Neurospora crassa OR74A: one gene and its partner. Each later gene encodes a partner of the first gene's protein in a complex. Links are inferred from orthologs where the notes say so. Each region holds a gene or a part of one and is shown on either strand. Other genes may lie near its edges.

Evidence for each region. Proteins that work in one complex are often made in the same cells at the same time.
Region 2: arp2 (region 1) and NCU09572 share a complex: the UniProt entries of both Saccharomyces cerevisiae proteins name them as parts of the arp2/3 complex. The link is inferred for Neurospora crassa OR74A from reciprocal best matches to the Saccharomyces cerevisiae genes ARP2 and ARC18.

What each region holds. Positions count from the first base shown.
Region 1 is NC_026505.1:6,357,608-6,361,467, reverse strand, and holds arp2 (actin-6), read left to right. Parts: upstream 1-1,300; 5' UTR 1,301-1,503; coding exon 1,504-1,528; intron 1,529-1,752; coding exon 1,753-2,184; intron 2,185-2,246; coding exon 2,247-2,977; 3' UTR 2,978-3,360; downstream 3,361-3,860. Other genes in the region: NCU07170 (hydantoin racemase), read right to left, coding at 1-326, 391-501. UniProt on the Saccharomyces cerevisiae protein: Functions as ATP-binding component of the Arp2/3 complex which is involved in regulation of actin polymerization and together with an activating nucleation-promoting factor (NPF) mediates the formation of branched actin networks.
Region 2 is NC_026507.1:963,372-966,547, forward strand, and holds NCU09572 (ARP2/3 complex 21 kDa subunit), read left to right. Parts: upstream 1-1,142; 5' UTR 1,143-1,396; coding exon 1,397-1,402; intron 1,403-1,643; coding exon 1,644-2,036; intron 2,037-2,161; coding exon 2,162-2,341; 3' UTR 2,342-2,676; downstream 2,677-3,176. Other genes in the region: NCU09571 (tRNA (adenine-N(1)-)-methyltransferase non-catalytic subunit trm6), read right to left, coding at 2,942-3,176. UniProt on the Saccharomyces cerevisiae protein: Functions as a component of the Arp2/3 complex which is involved in regulation of actin polymerization and together with an activating nucleation-promoting factor (NPF) mediates the formation of branched actin networks.

The DNA of each region.
Region 1 (3,860 bases):
AGGTGCTCCTCCCAGTACTTGCCCGTCGTGACAATGCCCCATTTCTTCGTCGGGCCCGTGAGCAGCGACAGGCAAGTGAGGACGGATGCTTCAAAGATGCCCGTGACGGAGAGGGGAAAGCCGTTGGATGAAGCGAGTTCCGAGAGGCCGGGGACGAGTTGGTGCACGGAGTAGCAGCATACTAGGACGGCGTCGTGGTCTTTGAGGAGTTGAAGGTTGCTGCTGAGGTCTTGGAGGACGTGGGTGGCGGAGGTATCCAGGTCGGTGCCGTTGTTGATGCTGGCTGGACAAGAGGTAGGGGCTGTGTAGTAGGTGATTTTGATGTTCTGGAGGGGGGTGTTAGTCCACGTTTTCGGTTATTAGGGGTGGAGGAGAGAAGGGAAGACAGACGTCGGGGAGGTTTAGGCTGGAAATAGACTTTGCCATGCCATCGGTCATGGACTTGGAGGAGTTGGGGTTGAGGATCAGGATCCTGATTGGTTCTTGCTGGGCGGTAGTCATGTTGACGAAGGAAGGGGGGTGAGTGAGTGAGGTGAATCGATAAATGGTCTGAGAGGGAAATAGTCAGGTCTGAGTCCATTTTGGGAGGTATCATGAAGTACTCAGTTTGAAAGATTGACGATGGTAGAACCTGAATGGGAACAACCTACTAGTATCGTAATGAGTTGGTAAAATACCGATTGTATCGACGGCCTGAGTGAGAAAGAATAAGGCAACAAAGGGTCTGATAACCACAAATGAAGAATCAAAAAAAGAAGGGACGGGAAGAACCAATATCAATCTCCACTCTCAAATGCACAATCCATCCCGTCTGATCTCTCACGATGCCCAACAAGGTGCATGTACTACTGAAGGTACAAGTGCGAGTCTCATGCGGGGTATCACGTGGGTACCCTAATGCCTGCCACTTCCTTGGGGTCCAGAATCCTGCCAAGACCCGCTTGTCATCGGCGCTCGTCCTGGTCAAAATAATCGAGACCTTTGACATGATACCTTGGCTCCTTGGGTATACTGCTGACTCTCAAGTTCTAGGCAATTACAGAATGAAAATGTGTAAATAGGGCTCTAGCTGAGGTCTTTTTGAATTGTTATATTCCCTGTCACGGTCTTGCAGCGGTCTTTTCTATGATCTTGACGTCTAGTGAACTGGTTTACCTAGCCTGCTCGCTCGTCTCCTTTATTTTGGCTCAGACGAGCGGCGCCCTGTTTGAAGGAAAGCTTGGCAGTTAGCGAATGACCCCACATATCGATGCTACCCCCCCAGCTAGGCTACCGCGCTGGACTCCAGCTAATTACGGTGCCGTAGTCCACTTCGCTACCGTAACCCGGACAGGGCACCGACACCACTGCACCGACCGACCGACGGGACCACCGACACTTGGTTCCTGTTGATTCACCCGCGGGAGCTTTCCATTCTAGCTCCGATATACACTCGATATTCGAAACCCCGACGAAGCTATTCGCAACTCCATTGAAAGTTACCAAACCAAACAGCCGCCCAGCATGGCCAACACCGACGCTCCCATTGGTACGTCAGCTCTTCTCTCCGCCAACAACCCCTTATCCATCTGGTGTCTCGAGCTCAAGCTACCTTGACGACCACCAACACCACCACCACCCACCCATCTGCCTGACCGCGTCATCACCGTCGCCATGGCAGCTGTAGCCGTCGGACTCCGTCCTCAATCACTTCCACTTCACAACAACAAAATGAGCACAGCGCCCAGCTAACACTTCCCCCCTCGAACACAGTCCTCGATGGCGGTACCGGCTTCCTCAAGGTCGGCTACGCCGCCCAGAATTTCCCCGAATTCCAATACCCCTCGATAGTCGGCCGCCCCATTCTCCGCGCCGAAGAAGCCAAATCGCTTTCCGACTCCTCCGACATTGTGATCAAAGACATCATGTGCGGTGACGAGGCCGCGGCCGCCCGTACCATGCTCCAAATCAGCTACCCGATGGAGAACGGCATCGTCAAGAAGTGGGACGACATGCAGCACCTATGGGACTACACTTTTCACGAGAAGATGAAGGTCGATACGCGGGGAAGAAAGATCTTGTTGACGGAGCCGCCTTTGAACCCGTTGAAGAACAGGGAGCAGATGACCGAAGTCATGTTTGAGCGCTACGACTTTGGGGGTGTCTATGTCGCTATCCAGGCGGTGCTGGCATTGTATGCTCAGGGTATGTCACCGCTCCTTTACACGGCGACTTGAGGAAACAAGTAGCTGACAGACAACGCGCAGGTCTCTCCTCTGGTGTCGTAGTCGACTCGGGCGACGGTGTCACGCATATCGTTCCTGTCTACGAATCCGTGGTCCTCAACCACCTTACCCGCCGCCTCGATGTGGCCGGCCGCGACGTCACCCGCAACCTGATCGCCCTCCTTCTCCGCCGCGGCTACGCCCTCAACCGTACTGCCGACTTCGAGACCGTCCGCCAGATCAAGGAAAAGCTCTGCTACGTCTCGTACGACCTCGAGCTCGACAAGCGCCTGTCCGAAGATACCACCGTCCTCGTCGAGAGCTACACCCTTCCCGACGGCCGCGTCATCCGCGTCGGCTCCGAGCGGTTCGAGGCCCCCGAGTGCTTGTTCCAGCCGCACTTGGTGGATTGCGACCAGCCGGGTATCGCCGAATTCCTCTTCAACACCATCCAGGCCGCCGATGTTGACGTGCGCTCCTCGCTATTCAAGGCGATCGTCCTGTCGGGTGGTTCCAGCATGTACCCCGGCCTTCCAAGCAGACTGGAGAAGGAACTGAAGCAGCTGTGGTTGACGCGCGTGCTGGGAGGCAACCCCGAGAGGCTGAGCAAGTTCAAGGTCAGGATCGAGGACCCGCCGAGAAGAAGGCATATGGTCTTCTTGGGTGGTGCGGTGCTGGCGAATATCATGGCGGATAAGGAGAGCATGTGGATTACGAAGCAGGAGTGGGAAGAACAGGGCGCGAGGGTGTTGGAGAAGTTGGGTCCTAGGTAAGGGACTACCGAGGGTGAAGCTGTTTAGACTACAATAGCAGGCGATATAATGTTTTCCGTTGGTAGGTAAATAAAGGATAATGCGAGAGTTTGTTAGAGCTTGCTTGGGCTGGTGTAATTTTGTTGGTCCCGACAGGAGAAATCGAACAATGGCCTTGTGTCAAGAGTCATGGTCTTTTGGGATACCATGAAAGAAGTCCCCAATATCACAACGGCGCCAACATCAAGCAAGATGCGGACAGCGGAACGGGACGGTCCCGGACAAACATCGGGAAGACGGAAAGGTGAAATGGTCCACCCCCACTTGTTGGACATCGATACGGTACGCTAAGGCTGGCGGCGATACAGTGGCTTATCAGAGCTGACACACTAACAGAAGCAAACATCATCAGATCTCTGCTAGCCTGACATGTCGCTGGTGACGAAAAGGGTAATTGATGTTATTGTTTTCCTTCGTGTGTCACTTTGTTCTTGCCTTTGCGACAACAATATCAATCCAGCTCGTCGTCAAAATCCCCAGACCTGTCGTGTTCCCAGATCCTCACCGGCCATCTTTACTCGATTTCTCCAAACTCTCAAGCCCGGCTTCCATCGCCCAGCTACCGGCCACGCTAACACACCGTCTCCGCTCATCCATTCCCGAGTCTCACAGTGGTTTTCCCCCCGGGCCCGTGCAGATCGGGTACGGCTCAGATGACATGCCTCCGAAACCGAAATGTGAGTCGATGAACTTGATCCAATTCCTTCATTCAAAACATCATCCAGCCCTCCCAGCATGATCCCTTCAGTGTGTATCTTGTGCCCGGTTATATAGTTTATTTTCTCCAAATTCCCGAGAGCATCTTCAAACACAAAACAGACGGGCGGTGACTGCCCAGCCTCTC
Region 2 (3,176 bases), on another chromosome or scaffold:
GGGGTTTGTCCGGGTTCTTGTGTTTGTCTTTGGGCGTGAAGAAGCGGAGGGCTGGTTTTAATGAACGATTGAAGAAGGCAGTTGTAGGTAGAGGAGAGAACCGTGACGCAGTGAGTGATGTGATGGGACTGGAGAACCCCAAATACCCCTCCATCACCCTTTCTCAGTGGACGGCGCACGACGGCGCTTTTGATTCCGCGTTGGTGCGTACACTACTATCACAGTACCTCTAAGCAGCGTAGTAGCGCTCTCGACTGGTGGTGTGCCTGTCGGGTGTGTGGCAGTCCCCGGCCGGATTTGCGTCGGATGAACAATTGCGCCAACAACAGCCAGCCAAGTCTGGACTGCTGGCTGATTTCATCATCTACGACGCGCTAGCACACGAGCTCCCGTGACTTATTGTCTTGGCATCCCCTCTTGTTTCTTCAATGTTTCTGCTTTCTGAGTCTTCTCCTCTCTCCTTGACGACGGGCCCCCCTGTTGTTCAAACAGGCAGCGGTGGGCGCAGCGCGGCGTTCACGGTGTTGAACTTCGTCCTATCCAACCAACATTCAGGTGTTGGCTCTCTTCCAGGTTGTTGGACTCGACCACGGCGTGAACCTCGGTCAATCTTCTTCCTTGAAAAATTCCGCCATAATGAGTAATGATGGGATGGATCCTTGGAACACCATCTTGAGCATGGAGTCCTGCTCTTTGTCTGGATTCCGAGACACAGCAGCTTAAGTTGCATGGAAAGCGGGCGCTCACGTCGAACGCGGTGGCTGACTACATGACACGTGAAGAGTCTTTGTGTAACTGAATCTTCCTCTGTATACCAATGGAGTGGCATTTTGACTTGTTCACATTCGCTCTCCTCCTTCAGATGATGCATTGTGCAAGACCTTCCGATTCCCCCGGGACTAGGTGGCTCCACTTCAGGCCGCAAAGATCCACTTTATCGGAGTCAAGCGAGCTGCTGCCTGTCCGATGACGAGGCCGGCTCCGGTAACTCTACACGTGATGGGAACCGGGAGTGCTTCATTGACTGTACCAGGCCTCATCCGGAGTCCGGACACAGCCACTGCTGAGCCACAAATTCAAATAGAAAGGTAACGCACAGACCAAGTCCAGCTCTACTGTCACAGAGTCCGTCACAGCGGCACGGTGCAAGCAGCGGTCGTCACCGCCAGCTCGACGTCAGCGCAGGAGAAGCCGCCATCGCCCATCGCTGGCACGCTGCAGGTCCAGGAAGGCCAGCCCAAGTCCAATTGACCCCATCACCCCGCAAGGCTGCGCCATAGAACCCGGACGCGGTCAAGTCAACACGACATCCCAGATTTACCTAACTTCCAACTTGAACACCATTTGCTTAATCTGGTAATAGCTTCATAGAGGGAGCTTGACACCAACCGTCACAATGCCGGTAAGCGCACCCATTCGCAAGCTCCCAACACCCAGCCGCTATGCGTATAGCTTCCCCAAGCTATACCAGCCAGCCAGCCAGCTACCCCTTAATCGTCAGACAAAGCTTCGTCCATGATCGCATCACCACCACCCACAACACCACGAACCGCTTTGCGCCCAATCGCATTTCTTCGCCTCTCGCCTCACCTCACACACAAATTCCCATTCTCAATCTCTCAACTAACGACGCCACTCTCTAGGCCTACAACTCCGTCTTCAACGCCGACCCCTCCCCCCGCCTAATCGGCAACTTCCCTCTCTTCCCGCTTCGCACCAAGATCCGCGGGCCGATCTACCCTCTCCCCTTCCCGGACCCTCCGCTCGCCGCCAACGAGTCGCCCGACCCGGACTCGGAGTCATACGACATTCTGGACGAGACGCTAGCTCTCTTCCGCGCCAACACCTTTTTCCGCAACTTTGAGATCCAGGGCCCCGCCGACCGCCTGCTGGTCTACGGCATCTGGTACATCAGCGACTGTCTGGGCCGCATCAAGCCGCACTATGGCGTTAGGGAGGCGACGAAGGAAGTGAACAATGCGGCGCTGGATGTGAACTTTGCGTTGCCGGGCGATCCTGGGTGGCCTTTGAATCAGGTGAGTTTTTTTGGCGTAAAGGATTTAGGGCGGAGATAGAATACGGTGAATGTGATGGGAGTAGATGTGGCCCGCGGCGGTGAACAAGAAAATGGATGGCAGCTAATAAGTTTGACGCAAAACAGATGTATGAACCCCCCCGCGACCGTCAAGACGCAGAAGTCCTCCGTCAGTACCTGTCGCAGGTCCGGCAGGAACTGGCGCAGAGGTTATTGGCGCGCGTGTACGACGACGAGACCGAGGACAAGCCGAGCAAGTGGTGGTTGAGCTTTACCAAGAGGAAGTTCATGGGCAAGGGACTCTGATGCGATGCCTTCCCTGTTCAGATGGCGTTGCATGGAATCGTTTAGCGCCAAAGTATAATACGTACTCTACACAAATAATATTTCAAGTTTCCTAGAGTGTGAGGGTGTGTTGGGGCGAGCGAGCAAGACTTTCAGTTGTTGTTGTTTTTGCGTGGTCCGGTTCGATCAGGCATAGATCGAGTACACATACACTTGAAACCCGATCATGAGCGACATGGGTTATATCTCCAGTTGACGTTCGATTAGTAGAATTACTGCAGCTCTATTTCGTGCAAATGGTATCTAAGAGCAAACGAGATCTATGCATATCGGTCATGCTGGTTCTCCTAACTGCTACCACTATCAGACTCCTGCTCATTGTTTGCCCGCCTTTCATGGACAAAGCATAATCATTTAAACCCATGGTCGCCTCCACTCCTCCTCGGCTGGTCGAGTCCACCTACTGTAAGCGAGCCTCGAAACGCTCTAACTGTCTTTTCCTTTCTGACTTTCCCTCGACCTCATTGCTTCCGTGGAAACCTCTGTGTGAGATCTTCCGATGCACGGGGAGAGAAGTGGCATCCTTGAACTCCCATAAATAACTCTTTCCGACCAATCCACTCATGCCGAAGCCGGCGTCGAAACGCTCTCCTCCACCTTTCTCCTCTTAAATTTGCCCTTGGCCGCAATCTTGCCCTCCGCTGGCTTCGCTCTCCATCCAGTAAAGATATATCCATCCGCACCACCGCGCTCCGTCATCAACGGATGCGTCCTGCCCGGCAACACCTGCCACCTCCTCGCCCTGCTAGTCTGGATGCTTGTGCCCAGTAACAGCGTGGGGTTGAGAGGGAACTGC